Saccharomyces cerevisiae S288C: one gene and its partners. The gene in region 3 interacts genetically with the main gene of each other region. Each region holds a gene or a part of one and is shown on either strand. Other genes may lie near its edges.

Region 1 (3,241 bases), on a different chromosome or scaffold from region 3:
ATGCGCTGATAACTATGAAAAGGTGCTAATCCGCGGGTTTGCCGGTAGAGATTCCGTCAAACTTCCGATGTTCGACTTGTTCCTGCTTGGTTGTGCCCCCGATGGTCATATCGCATCACTCTTCCCTAACTTCCAGGACAATCTACGTGAGAAACTTGCATGGGTGGTGCCCGTGGAGAACGCTCCTAGTGGGCCCTCGACCAGAATTTCGCTGACTATACCTGTAATCTGCCATTCTCACAGGGTTACTTTCGTTGTCGAAGGTGCAACCAAGGCGCCCATCATCAAGACCATTATGGAAAGGCCTGAAAAGGGCCTACCTAGCAGTATTGTCAACGAAGGTGCTGCTGGTCGTGTATCATGGTTTGTTGACGACGATGCTCTTACGGACGTCCTCGTCACCAAAAAAAAGTATAAATTCCACCAAGGTTTGTCTATTTAAACCATGCATGTGTGTACATACATACATACACACATACATACATACATACATATATTTATGTATATTTATGTATATATATATATATATATATATGCGTAATTATGCAGATTTCTCCTTGTGTGCTACAGCGGGTACTCTGACGCCAGATCATGGCCTCGAGATCGATATACAAACCACTGCATGATAAAGATGAAGTTGAATATTAAAGTTACCATTGACAGTCCCACTTTTCCAAAATTTGTCACGAACGTATCCAGACTGAAACCTTGATCGTTAGACAACTGCCAAATCAATTGGAGCAGCGAGGCGATACCGCCAGTGACATCTAGAAACACACCCTGAATGGGGAAACAATCCATAGATTTTCTTGTCGAGTTATGCGTCACTTGTGGGATGTACTTGATTAGTGACATCGATATTTTGAGTAAAAACAAATTGTTGCAATACGCCAGAGTTCTTGAGTTATGCCAATCGTACCAGTAGTTGGAGTACATAAATTGTACGGTTAGCAGTGAAAAAATGGCCAGTGATGCGAGTAAAATCCTTAGGTACCATGGATTCATCTTGCGGTGACCTTTACCTGGAAATCGCCAGATTCTCGCTCCAGCTACCACCTGGGTCAATAAGACAACATTCATCAAGCACCCATGCAGGCAATACCAGAAATCAAATTGCGTCAACTTGGGCCTGCCCAAGTCAGACTCATCACCCGTCATTTTCCAGCAGTACAATTGCAAAAATATGGATATGACCAGGTAAGAGTAACCTGCCGTATTTAACATGACAAAATCCATCGATATCGCGCTCGCTGACTTATGGCGCCAATTGGTGATTATCGGTGGATACATCGATATCGACCATGACGTAACATACACGATACCTAGTATATCGTCTAACGACACCATTTTGCTTCGCGTTTGCTTTTGTTTGCTTTTAGTTTTTCTTCCCTTGTTTACATATGGAAACTCACCTTAAAATTTCAAGATTATCAAAAAATATAAAGGATTCCGCTATTAAAGGGCAATACCACAACCTCAAACCAAATCACCTAAACCAAATCAAAGATGGAAGCGGAAAAACAATCTGATATTAAGGGAACCATTGCTTTCGATACTCACGGTAACGTTATAGAGTCTACCGGCGTGGGCAGTCAAAGGATCGAAGATATCGGTGATTTATCGAAAGTTACGCTGGATGCAGAAGGTTTTGCTCAAGTTCAAGGAGATTCGCTACTCGTACACCTGTACAAACGCAATGATATCACTTTAGCTGTATATACCAGCGCTCAATAAATTCTTTCCTTCCCTTTCGACATAGCTATGTCTGTATACTATCTAAAAACTAAATATCACAATAAACAAAGTACTAAAATAAACACCCATTTAAATAAAGCCAGATCCTGACCCTCCAAATCCGCCGGATCCTGAACCTCCAAATCCGCCAGATCCAGGACCAAATGGTTCGTCGTACTTGGATCCAGGCATCCATCCTGGCGGCATATCTTCCCGTCTTGGGGCAGGTCTTCTATTTGGATCGAAAATCATACCGCCTTGGCTACTTGGATTCCCCAGAGGATTGGGAAGCCCTCCAGACCAATCCGGATGGCTTGTGCCAACAGGATACAGATCACCATCCGCATACCCTCCTGCTGGGTTAGCGAAGCTCGGTTCAGTTACCGTAAGTCCGGGATATGGGTTCAACGGTGCTGTTCCCTGGTTTTGTCTTGCTTGTGCCTGGTACTCATCGTCAAATTTTGGCATGTCCGCACTACCTGCAGTTTGTCTTTTAAGTTGTGTCATTATAGGTTTCAGGTCTGGCTCCACAGGTAAGCTTTCTCTTTCTAGTGGCCATTTCAATTCTGTGGGCAATTTAAAATCGCTGTAACCCACCACACATGCCATGGTGATCGACGTACCATGACGAATAACAACAGTATACTTGTCATTGTCATCCAGAGTCTGAATCACCACTAGCTCAGAGAGAAACGATGTTGAACCCTTCTCACTGGGAGAATCTTTAATGCGAAAACTCACTTGGCATGATTTGGTTCCCTCTGTATGGCGTGACACCACCTCAGTTTTACCGATGGACTCCAACACTAGTTCTGCTACCAGTTCAACCTTATTCTCAATCATTGTTTAACTCTTGCGTTACTATGGTGGTATTATTGATGCTAATACGGGTTTTTTATGAAAAAAAAAGGATAACAAACTTATATAAACTTATATAAAAACATATACAATAAATGATCTACAAAGGGTAGGAAATAAAAAATAAGGGAGAAAAAAAAATACATGCGTAAGTACATTAAAATTACAGGAAAAATCTTACTTTAGTTCTGATATTTCACCATCGCGATACACCAACCCCATAACGTTTAGGAACAAATTCAAATCTTGGTATAGTTTCTCTTTATTATAAATAATAGATTTTAACTCTGTGTCTAATTCTTGAGACCTCTGAGGTAATACACTCAATTCTTTCTCTTTCTTTTGTAAGGTCTCCGCCTCGTTAATAGTGGCAAAGATTTCATCACGTACTTCATCAATAATGATTCTCTGGTGGTTTAGCTTTCCACTTAGTGCTAAACTAGCTAGGAACTGCCAAATGTATGCTTCATCCATAAACTTGTCATTTTGTAAACGCATGATGTGGTCGTTATATTCCCTTGGAGGGAAAATCAGCTGAATCTTACTTTCCAATGAAGTGAATAATTTATCATAAATCTCATTCCATGTGGAGATTTCAGGAGAGGAAAGAATATTAGATCTTGATGAATCTTGCTTGATTAATGCGGCA
Region 2 (4,436 bases), on a different chromosome or scaffold from region 3:
CGAAGTACTAAGTAAGTGTGCATTCAAAATATTTTTAAACATCACACCCAACATAACGAACTGGTCGCATAACAAGGATACTTTTTCATTGATTTTGGATGAAAACCCATTGGCTGACTTTGTGGAGTTACCCATGGACGCTATGAAATCGCTCTGGTATTCCAATATATTGTGTGGTGTTTTGAAAGGGTCACTTGAAATGGTGCAGCTGGATTGTGATGTCTGGTTTGTGTCGGATATCTTGAGAGGAGACTCTCAGACGGAGATCAAGGTTAAGTTAAATAGAATTTTAAAAGACGAAATACCGATCGGCGAAGATTAGTGGACATGTAAGCTTTTTTTTTTCGTGATTTTTGTTATTATTGGTGTCGTTATTTAGGTATACATTATTTTCCTACGTAGAAATGTTATCCTTAATGTTTTTGTTCAGTAGTTACTTTCATATTATATTATTTACAAACATTGTCAAATGCTTTTTTTTTTATTTTTCTATTTTTTGATCATTCTTTCTTTTCGTGTTCTCTTTTCTGTCTTACCAGCGAAGCAATCTTCGAAGATATATTTGTGTTGCGACTGTTTTCCTTATTTAGATCAGAACTTCGTGCGGTTTGTACTATGGCAGGATTTTTCTCATCAAATTCATCCTCATCCTCACTAGTTTCACCTTCACTTTTCCATTGACCTTGCTTTGCATCAGAAAAAATTGGAATATCGGTCAACGAGCCTCTTGAATTCACTCTTGATAGGGCGTTAGAAGCTAGCGAGCCAATAGAATGTATAGAAGAAGAGCGGCTTCTAGATTGTACACTCATACGACTTATAGAAGACTCTGCATCAGAAGAGACATCATAACCGTCTCTCTTAGAGAATATCTCAGTCGCTAATTTATCGTAATCAGGGAAAACCAAAGGTCCTAAATCGTTACAAACAGCAGTCAACTCTAGACTTAAATTCTTTCTTGTTGTTTGGATTTCTTCGATCTTCTTACCGGGGTAAACAATAGAAACAAAAAGTGGTCTTAAAGATTTGAAAAGGTCAACACCGATTTCACCGGTCTTTAAAGAGGAATACGTGGTGAAAACCAATAACGCATAAAAATAGACAAATTGTATGAATGCGTTATTGGAAGGAACCCAGATGCGACAATAGTGTTGTTTTCTTGCCAAAATAATCAACAAGATCGAGTAAGTAACGTATAAAATTGGTGCCAATATTAACGCCACGATAAGTTTCCATGTGGCCAACAAATCGGTACCCTTAATTTTAACCAATGATTTCTTTAAACCCTCTTTGGCCTTCTTTTCTGAGTATACGCGACAAATAATGAAAATTGGAGTGAAGAGAATAGAACCCGGTAACGATAGTATAGCAAAGACAGAAAATTTAATCAATCGAACGATCAAAGTTACAAAGCACCTCAATGCTTCTAATTTGGTAGTTTTTAATTGCATCACCTGATGGTCTTTTAAACCCACTGAATCTAATTTCCTGTTGTAGTCATATACCAGTTTTTTTAAGTGAATAATTCTTGGATCATCTTTAAACTTGGAATAACCGAAAAGTAACCTTCTGTTGATTTCTACAATGGCAGGCAAAGGTAGCCTGACTTTTACCGGTTGATATAGTCTTCTGGCAGCCTGAATGACCATCAAAGTATCGTAATCTGGAGCATTTTCGGTAACAGAAAACAAAGAATTGGTGATCTTTTTTAGTAGTTTGGAAACGGTCTCACGTGGGGAGTCCTTATACATTTCGCCATATTTCCCATCCACCACTATAGGTTCGCCGTATTCTAAAACAGCTCTAGATCTGAATTTATTTCTGTGGAAATAATGCAAACCACAGGGTACAACAGCAACTTTCATGGTAGGATCAGCGGCTACTGCGCCCAGAGCCATAATGGCAACACCTGCCTTGATGGGTAGTAACGAAGGACGGTCATGAGAACCACCCTCGGGGAAAATACCTACACAGCCCTTCGTATGCAAGTGATCAAAAACACTCTGGAAAGTTTCCGTATTGTCGATTTTCTCTGCATATTTAAAATTAGTACCATTAGTCAAGAGCTCCACCACTTTTGATTTCGATGTTCTGAATGGAGAGGACAAGATTATCGTTTCATCATCCGGGATTTCCTTGATTTGAGCATTACTTAAGTAGTCGGGCAATCCAAGCAAGGACTTGGCAGAAAACCTTTTCGTAAAGTTCACTGGTGTAGTCTGTGGGTTCTTGGAGCGGCCCTTGATGATTTCCGGGTGGTTCTTCAAGTCCGGAGCGTAAATCTCAAGATTCTCATCCACTGGCTTCAAGTTGTCCTGAATTCTAGGCACGGGAATACCGCCCATTGCGTGACCAAAGAAAGAGATAAATCTTTTCTTAAAACTCGACTCAGCAGTAACAAAACAAGGCATTCTGGATCGGGACTTTCCCGCTGATGTCTTCAGCAAACGGGTTTGCGACATTACCAAAGCCGGGTCGATGAACTGATTTGCATGAGGGGCACACACAAGGATGGTTGGCACCCCAACTTCGGGAACGTTATATGCACCACGTACCTTAATTTCTCTGAAGAAAATAGTGAACAAAATATTAAACAGAAATACAGACACATCATACAGCCATGTATGTATATTGTATACGAATCCATTGTATGAATTTTTGTACCGTCGGGACGCTTGAGGTACATGAGGAATAGGTTTGGCAGCGTTATGATCGGCAGCGGGAGCAGACATAAAGGAAAGGGAGCAATAACTGATCGATTAATCGGCTTTATTAGATGTGAAAGTAGAATTTTGCTCTAGCGACGAAGCACGAAAAGACACTATCTTATACTCAAGCTGCCACTTCTTCAGGGTCTCTCCTCTTTTCTCTCCCCTCTTTATTACTCCTCTCAACCTTACAATCAAAGTGAGCCATTTACTTCGAAAATGCGGAGCAACGGCGGGTTACTGGTGTTCCAGCAAGAGCTGTAATAATTCAATATAACTAGTAAGAATAGCCAAGAAAGCCAAAAGACGAGCTTGGATCGATGCGAAAATGTGGTCGCTCCACACCAATTACTAGTTATCATTTAGCGCTGCCGTGTGGCGACTACACTTCAGCGACCTATGTAGCTTACATAATGTCGGGATGATTTCTCCCGCAGCTAGATCTCGCCAATGGAAATTCCAAAGCCAAAGAATATCCTGCTTTGTCAGGAATTTCGTAAACCATGGTCAGGCCCAGATTTGTAGTTTTCTTTACCAACGACAGCGATGAGTTATTTGGTCCTGAGTACTGAGTAATATGACTCTCTTGGCATCCAGGGGCCGGCCCAAGCCGGCTGTTACCAATTTAGGAAAGGACCCTGGAGCGAAAAGTACTTAAGCAGAGACTATTGTACACGCTCGCTAACTCAAGAACATGAATTTCGCATTCATGCAGACGCAAACACACACGTATATCTACAATTATGACTACTGCTGTTAGGCTTTTACCTTCACTGGGCAGAACCGCCCATAAGAGGTCTCTCTACCTGTTCTCCGCTGCTGCTGCTGCTGCTGCTGCTGCAACTTTTGCTTACTCGCAATCCCAAAAGAGATCATCGTCTTCTCCCGGGGGTGGTAGTAACCACGGATGGAACAACTGGGGGAAGGCAGCTGCTTTGGCTTCCACTACACCGCTCGTTCATGTCGCCTCTGTCGAAAAAGGGAGGTCATACGAGGACTTCCAAAAGGTGTACAATGCGATTGCACTCAAGCTGAGGGAAGATGACGAATATGACAACTATATAGGCTATGGGCCCGTATTAGTCCGTCTTGCTTGGCACACTTCAGGGACCTGGGACAAGCACGACAATACAGGCGGGTCATACGGTGGTACATACAGATTCAAAAAGGAGTTTAACGATCCATCCAATGCGGGCTTGCAGAATGGCTTCAAGTTCCTGGAGCCCATTCACAAAGAGTTTCCCTGGATCTCCTCGGGTGATCTGTTCAGTCTAGGGGGTGTCACTGCCGTGCAGGAAATGCAGGGTCCCAAGATTCCATGGAGATGTGGTAGAGTCGACACGCCAGAGGATACTACCCCTGACAACGGGAGACTGCCTGACGCTGATAAAGACGCTGACTATGTCAGAACATTTTTTCAAAGACTTAATATGAATGACAGAGAAGTAGTTGCTCTTATGGGGGCTCACGCTCTGGGCAAGACCCACTTGAAGAACTCTGGATACGAAGGGCCATGGGGAGCCGCTAACAACGTCTTTACCAATGAGTTTTACTTGAACTTGCTGAATGAAGACTGGAAATTGGAAAAGAACGACGCGAACAACGAACAGTGGGACTCTAAGAGCGGCTACATGATGCTGCCCACTGATTATTCTTTGATTCAGGATCCCAAGTACTTAAGCATTGTGAAAGAATACGCTAATGACCAGGACAAGTTCTTCAAGGATT
Region 3 (3,704 bases):
GCAGTAAAGATGGCAGTTATTTTAAAAACGAATTTCGAGAAATAGTTGGTATAAATAACTATAAATAACGTTTTACTGTTTTAAAAAAGCGATCCGTTAAAAGGCCCTAACGATTCTTTAGAAACTTGAAACGTTAGCGGAAGAGCACTTTGTTTTAAACCGTAGTAAGAATTTTTTTATATTTTATTTCATTTACTTATTTTTTTTTTTTCTTTACTCCTTTTTTTTATGTTACTTAGACAAATTTCATTATATTAGGTAAAGCTAAAGGATGGTAAAAAGTCTGAGTGGTTCTTTTAATTAAGGTAGCAAAAGTTGATGAAACTGGAACTTCAAAACAGTAATAATATAGTAACAATAAGAAATAAAAGAGATATTAACGACACTAAAATTTTATCTACATATAAAATTCAGTGATGAACCAACCGTCTCATAATAAAAAAGGAATGGTAAAGAAATCATTAGAGAAGAAATTAAAGTAATAATAGAAACACAAATTGTTGCTTTAATCTTATAGTAAGGCAACGCCAACAGCAGCAACGACACCCATGAATGAAGTGGCTGGAACAAGTTCTGGAGCAGCACCCTTAGACTTCTTAGAAGAAGAGGAAGAAGAGCTAGCGGAAGCTGAAACGTTAGCTTGAGCATTGGAGGCATCACCACTAGAAGAAGCGGAAGATGTAGCAGAGCTCTTGGATGATTCAGTAGAAGTAGAGGATAGCTTAACGGAGGTAGATGTGGCACCGTTCTTGCAAACAAAAGAGTCACCTTGAATAGCACCGTTACTTTGCAACTTCTTCAAAGCGTTACAGGAGAAGTTACTGGAAGAAGAGTCGAAGTTAGCACCACCTCTAACAGACTTCAAAGAAGATAAGTCCAAGGTTGAGAAGTTACCAGTAACTTCAATGGCACCACCAACAGTTTGAACCTTGTTAAAACCGTCAATGACCTTCAATTGTGTGTTGTTAGCAATGATGAAACCACCACCAACAGTAGTCAAGTTACTGAAAGCGGCCTTGGATAATTCATCGTTGGAGACGATAGACAAAGATTGACCAACCTTGCTCAATTGGGTCAAGTTCAAACTTGGCAAAGTGTTGTTAATGAAACCTAAGGAAGCGTTAACAGTTTGCAAACTACCGAAAGAAATAGAGTTAACATCTCTCAAAGTGATGTTGTTAGCCCAGACCAAATTGTCGAAGGCCAAAGTAGTGTTGTCACCGTTGGAAGAGAATTGTAAAGAGTCAGAGACACTTTCCAAGGAAGATTGGAAAGAGTTTAGATATCTGTTGTTGTTGATGTTAAAAACATTAACCTTCTTCAAAGTGGAGAAACCTTCGACACTTTCCAAAGTGGTGTCAGAAACAATAATGTTGTTAGCATTTTGTAAATCGGTGGAGAAGGTAGAAATGGCAGGCAAAGTCACCATGTTAATGGAGTCTACTTCTTGCAAAGAACCGAAAGAAGCACTGGTCAAAATGATCAATTCTTGCATGTTCAAATCACCGGTGATTTTCTTGATAGAGTCAGCGGAGAAAGAAGATAAAGAACTGGAGTTGAAGATAGTCAAGGAACCATCAATCTCTTGGATACTAGCCAAAGCAGCGGAACCCAAGTCACCGGTGATGGTCAAGTTACCAACAATGGTACTACAACCGGAGATTTTGTCCAAATCAGCTTGAGCAGTAGCAGTGGCAGAAGTACCAATACTACATGAAGATGGAATAGAAGTAGTTGAGTTAGCTGCTTAGATAAAGAAAAGTAGTGTTAGTATTCCCGATCGATTTATACATGTATTATTCTGTTTCATTACTCGCCCTAATCCTATGACAGGCAGAAATATTGAAGAATATTCCAAAACCATCCTCACGAGATCTCGAAACCCGTTTCCTCTTTTGGAAATTTTTTTTTTTCGCATTGTCCGTCCGCGTCAATCGAGACCTATGAAAAAAAGCCCAGTAATCGACAAAGAAAAAAGAAAAGAATGAAGAGGACCACGAATCTACTCGAGATTTGTGAGGAAAGAGGCAAATAAAGAAAAAAAGATGAAAAAAAAGGAGAATGTGTACATACCAGCTAGAGCGGAGGCACTTAGAATAGCAGTAGCAGTCAAAGCGTTCTTGAATTGCATTGCGGAATAATAGTAAAATTAAAACTAGATCTTTAAAAGTCAAATAAACGTATTCTTGATAGCTCAAAGGGACTTGTTGAAAGAAAAATGGAAAAGATTAAACTGTGTAGAAGCGAATGAACGATTAACTCTTTTATTTAATTTCTTTTCTAAAAGTGGCCGAAGTACTCAAAGATGATGTTCTAAAAAGAAGAGAAAGGGTGAAAAGCCAAGAAAGATAAAGAAGGAAAGAAAATGCAGAGGAAAGATCTTCACATATTAAATACAAAAATGCAAGAGAGGTCCGTTGATTGCGAAAAGTCGTAGGTGTTTGACATTGAATATTTATACCGGCTCAAGCACGCTACCGAAAATTTTTCAGTTCGATCTGAGGTTTGTACTTTTGATTTCGATCCCAGGAGGGATGGTTGTTTACTGCACGTTGCCTTTGTTTGTTGTGGTAACGCGGTTTCAGTCCTGTCTCTAGTGCCTGGCCACTGAGAATGAGCGCGTGGGCCAGAAACGGTGGCGCGTCTTTCCCGTTTTTGCACTCCATTTCATTTCTTTTTCGCGAGGGCGCAGCAGCCACCCGGGTCGTGAAGGATGATACTGCCCGCCATCCTTTTTTTTTTGCGGTTTACGGTAATTCGCAGATTTTACGTTGATAATGATATGAATGGTGCCCTCTGGGTAACAGGTGAATATGGAGAGAGAGACGAAGAAAAAGAAAAACAATTGCTTCATTTGGCATATAAGCTAAAAAGACTCTAATGAATTAATTAAGGGAAGATAAGAAGAAAAAAAAAAGGCAGTTATCAGCAGCAAACGGTATCCAAAATATTGAAGCAATATGGTGATGCTCCATTCTAAAAACGTTAAAGGGTTTCTGGAAAACACTTTGAAACCGTATGATTTGCATTCGGTAGACTTCAAGACATCGTCTTTGCAATCGTCTATGATTATAACCGCCACTAATGGGGGTATACTGTCCTATGCGACGTCAAACAACGATGTACCGAAAAATTCCATAAACGAAATAAACTCGGTCAATAACTTGAAAATGATGAGCTTATTGATTAAGGATAAGTGGTCAGAGGATGAAAACGATACTGAGGAACAGCACTCCAATAGCTGTTACCCTGTGGAAATCGACTCCTTTAAGACAAAAATATATACTTACGAAATGGAAGATTTACATACCTGTGTCGCACAGATACCCAATAGCGACCTTTTGCTATTGTTCATTGCGGAAGGTAGCTTCCCTTACGGACTACTGGTAATTAAAATTGAAAGAGCTATGAGAGAGTTGACTGATTTGTTTGGCTACAAGCTAGGTTGATGGGTTTAACAATATGTATCGAGGCCACACCTTTTCATGCGTCTCCGGATGGGGGCTGGAAAAAACAATGCGAACAGTCTATAAATAAACACATTTTCGCAGGGACAGAGTTTACGCAGACACGCCATTTACATAAGCTTGATTACGCGGATTGCCGTGGTGCACTTTCGTGCACTCGCACATATATATGCACGTACATAAGGGCCTCATCTTCCTCTCCTTTTTTTCCCCCATCTACCTATCGCTGTTATTGAA
Region 4 (3,892 bases), on a different chromosome or scaffold from region 3:
GATGGAGAATCCCAGAATTTGGTAGAAACACTAATTTTCAATCCATTTACCTCGGGTGAGTTGGAAGATGTTGCCAATAACTTTATTAAACTGTTCCCCTTGGTCTATGAAAAAGGTGTTTATTTAGATGCACCTACTCACGTTTTAAATCCCTCGTTAACCAATAATTATTTAGTGGAAACTTTAGTGGAAATAGTTAGGTTAACTAAGAGTTTGGAAGCATGTCGTAAAATGCTCAAGAAGTTAATAGAAATTCATCCAGAAGCAGTAATAATATTAATTCGTGTTTATTTTGCGTGCGATTTAGAGATAGATGCAGTTGACCTGATCAACGAGCAACTAAATTCCCCCTCTTCGTTCTTAGCCGACGATTCAAAGACTAGCCATATCCAGCTAATCTTCAAATCCGAATTATTAAGTATTCAAAGTGAATTCTTACTGGATGTCAAGAGAGATTACAAGCTTGCTAAGGAAGTAGCCATGGAGGCTGTTAACTGTGCACCAAACGAATTTAAAACTTGGTATTTATTGACTAGAATATACATTAAACTAAACGATATGTCAAATGCCTTGCTATCGTTAAACGCCTGCCCCATGTCACAGGTTAAGGAAAAATACGTTCTTAGAAGAATTGCGCCTATTACTTCAGATGAAAATCTTCATCTGCCATTACCATTGGATGCCTCAATTGAGGAGATTTCGTCATTGAACCCCATGGATGTCCAGTTGGAGCAAAAGTCCGCAGATCCAAACCTAGTCAATCTCTCTGCGTCAAGTTTAAAGTCTACTTTCCAACTAGCCTATAAATTATTGACAGAAATTGTCCAAATAACAGGATGGGAGCAGCTGTTGAAATATAGATCAAAAATTTTCGTTATGGAAGACGAGTACCAAGGCTCCACTTCTTCCATTGATGAAGCAGAAGTTCGCGGTAATGATATATCCAAAATGAGATCAAAGAGGCTATGCGAAAGATGGTTGGATAATCTCTTCATGTTACTATACGAAGATTTGAAAACTTACACCGATTGGCAATCAGAGCAATTGTATTTTGATGCTCAAAACAGTAAATATCACAAATTAACTGTTGAATGGGAATTATTCGGCCTTTGTGCGAAAAGACTGGGACATCTTCCAGAAGCTGCGAAGGCTTTCCAAATTGGGCTTTCCCAAAGATTTTCTCCAGTATGCGCAAAGAATCTATTACAGTTTTACATTGACGAGCATAAGCGTATTAGGAGGGATTCAGTCTCAGCAAACTCCGAGTTAACCTCTTCTCAAATATTGTCAAGTATCAATGACATCGACAGCTCAATCATCGATCTAGTAGTCAAGATTTGTTGCTGGAATCATCGTTGGTACATCGAGTTCTCAATAATATTAATAGATGCTCTGAGTGTTGCAGTACAAGATATGGGCATTACTAAAGTACATAATGAAATTGCCTCTAGATTTTCTGACCCAGTAGCCCAATTGATTGACGATAACATTCTAAATTTTCTGAAGAATTTCACGAATGACACTTTCGATAATTAGAAAAAGATGAATACAATCAATAAAAAGGTGAAAGAAATCAATTAACAAGAAACGGGTTATGTATTTTATGTATGATATCCTGGCATTGTCATGTATAGGTCACCTTCTTGGGGAATTTCCCATTTTCAAGTTATTCTGCCTCTAATGCGATAACCGTAATCTTAAATTGTTTAATTTCTTTTTCACAATCTGAGCCACGCCCGAAAAAAAAACAATGTAATCCGCGTAAAGCGAAACTGAGTATAACCCAAAAATAGAATGTAAATTAATGAAAAGCCCATTTCTCCAAAAGATCAGCTTTACTCAAATATCTAATTAAGTAATTGACTGTGTACATTGTCCTTTATCTCATTTTGAATCACCTTTATTAATTTTTGGTTGTTATATAGGACGAACAAATTAGAACGAAATCATATCCAGAACGCAGATATGATCGTCAATATTAGTGCGAAGATGATCTTATCGATATGCTTTACGTTTCTGTCATTTTTTAAAGCCACTCATGCCATGGATTTGGATACTACTAGCAAAACGTCAATTTGTGATGCGACAGCGTTAATTCAAGGTGGTATGCTGGATTACTATGAGGGTACTAGATACGGTGGTACCGTTGGGATGTTTCAGTCACCATACTATTGGTGGCATGCAGGGGAAGCATTTGGTGGCATGTTGGAAAATTGGTTTCTTTGTGAGAATGATACATATCAAGAATTACTATACGATGCACTATTAGCGCAAACTGGTTCCAATTACGATTATATCCCGTCCAACCAAACGATGGTTGAGGGGAATGATGACCAAGGTATTTGGGGTATTACTGTTATGGGTGCTGTCGAGAGAAATTTTACAGACCCCGGTGACGGCAAGCCAGGTTGGTTGGCAATGGTACAAGCTGTTTTCAACACCATGTACTCAAGATGGGATTCAGAGCACTGTGGCGGTGGTCTGAGATGGCAAATTTTCACTTGGAATAGTGGTTATAATTATAAAAATACAGTTTCAAATGCATGTTTGTTCCAGATTGCGGCGAGGTTGGGCAGATATACTGGTAACACTACATATTTGGAGGTTGCTGAACAGGTTTTCGACTGGCTAGTGGATGTCGGGTATGTGGTTCTTAACGATACTGCAAATGTCTTTGATGGTGCTGAAATTGATACAAATTGCACTGATATTACAAAAATTGAATGGACTTATAATCACGGTATCGTGCTTGGTGGTCTTGCATACATGTATAATGCTACAAATGGAACAGGTGAATGGGAGACCAGTTTGACAAAAATTCTAAATGGTGCTAAATCTTATTTCTTCAAAGATAGTATTATGTACGAAAGCGCTTGTCAAGACTATGGCACCTGTAACACCGATCAAAGAACATTCAAAAGTATTTTTTCTCGTATGCTTGGTCTTACAAGTGTCATGGCTCCCTTTACTAGGGACACAATTGATGATTTGATAAAAACAAGTGCTGAGGCCGCTGCAAAATCATGTAATGGTGGTACAGATGGGCATACATGTGGTTTAAATTGGCAGAAACAAACCAATGATGGCTACTATGGATTAGGTGAGCAAATGAGTGCTCTAGAAGTTATTCAAAATCTTTTAATTCATGACAGGCCAGCTCCATATAAGGAAGATAATGGCGGTACGTCAAAAGGTGACGCGAATGCCGGTATGAACTCATCGACCACTAACGTGCTACAAAACAATTTAAACATTAAGAAAGGTGATCGCGCTGGTGCCGCTATCATCACAGCAGTCATACTGAGTGTGCTAACTGGTGGGGCTGTGTGGATGCTGTTTTAAATGTGTCAAACTAGGCTCAAAAAAATTTTATTGTATTCTAATATTTAGGCTATCCTTTTCTTTCAGTAAAAATGTTTATGTGCTACATACAAAACCCTTCATGATCAAAAACTGATTAAAATTTAGAGAGGAACAATTGTTTTTAAAAAAAATACTAAAAAACACTCACGATGGGGGTCGAACCCATAATCTTCTGATTAGAAGTCAGACGCGTTGCCATTACGCCACGCGAGCTAGTCATATGTTTCTTTCGTCTTTTTCATCTGATGACATTCTAGTGGAACATTTATGGTAAGATACCGATTCCATTTTAAGGATTTCTATACCCTCGAGGAGAACTTCTAGTACATACATAATTTTATAGCTTTGACCAACAATGGAATCCCAAAAATTATCAAATTTTTTATCAAATATTCAAATATATCAAATATTCTAATGTTTTATAAACGTTTTATGAATGACATATATGCGATAATTATATGGCTAAAGAAAATCAATGCAAGTTCCATCATGGTTGTGTAAAAGGAACGTTTCAGCTTGTATCTGAGAA

The links.
Region 1: mutations in ECM33 (region 3) and ERS1 together harm fitness more than expected from each alone (negative genetic interaction), as found in Saccharomyces cerevisiae (2 studies listed by BioGRID).
Region 2: mutations in ECM33 (region 3) and GPT2 together harm fitness more than expected from each alone (negative genetic interaction), as found in Saccharomyces cerevisiae (2 studies listed by BioGRID).
Region 4: mutations in ECM33 (region 3) and DFG5 together harm fitness more than expected from each alone (negative genetic interaction), as found in Saccharomyces cerevisiae (2 studies listed by BioGRID).

What each region holds. Positions count from the first base shown.
Region 1 is NC_001135.5:247,469-250,709, forward strand, and holds ERS1 (cystinosin-like protein ERS1), read right to left. Parts: upstream 1,348-3,241; coding exon 565-1,347; downstream 1-564. Other genes in the region: SOL2 (Sol2p), read left to right, coding at 1-442; EGO2 (Ego2p), read left to right, coding at 1,507-1,734; FUB1 (Fub1p), read right to left, coding at 1,825-2,577; deadenylation-dependent mRNA-decapping factor PAT1, read right to left, coding at 2,770-3,241. UniProt on the Saccharomyces cerevisiae protein: Cystine/H(+) symporter that mediates export of cystine, the oxidized dimer of cysteine, from vacuoles/endodomes.
Region 2 is NC_001143.9:566,214-570,649, reverse strand, and holds GPT2 (bifunctional glycerol-3-phosphate/glycerone-phosphate O-acyltransferase GPT2), read right to left. Parts: upstream 2,733-4,436; coding exon 501-2,732; downstream 1-500. Other genes in the region: TRAPP complex core subunit BET3, read left to right, coding at 1-322; CCP1 (cytochrome-c peroxidase), read left to right, coding at 3,452-4,436. UniProt on the Saccharomyces cerevisiae protein: Dual substrate-specific glycerol-3-phosphate/dihydroxyacetone phosphate sn-1 acyltransferase, catalyzing the first and committed reaction in the de novo synthesis of glycerophospholipids and triacylglycerols (TAGs).
Region 3 is NC_001134.8:391,550-395,253, reverse strand, and holds ECM33 (Ecm33p), read right to left. Parts: upstream 2,132-3,704; coding exon 2,074-2,131; intron 1,744-2,073; coding exon 512-1,743; downstream 1-511. Other genes in the region: SLM4 (Slm4p), read left to right, coding at 2,961-3,449. UniProt on the Saccharomyces cerevisiae protein: Required for proper cell wall integrity and for the correct assembly of the mannoprotein outer layer of the cell wall. Important for apical bud growth.
Region 4 is NC_001145.3:744,388-748,279, forward strand, and holds DFG5 (putative mannan endo-1,6-alpha-mannosidase), read left to right. Parts: upstream 1-1,965; coding exon 1,966-3,342; downstream 3,343-3,892. Other genes in the region: BCH1 (exomer complex subunit), read left to right, coding at 1-1,536; RNT1 (ribonuclease III), read right to left, coding at 3,875-3,892. UniProt on the Saccharomyces cerevisiae protein: Required for normal synthesis of the cell wall.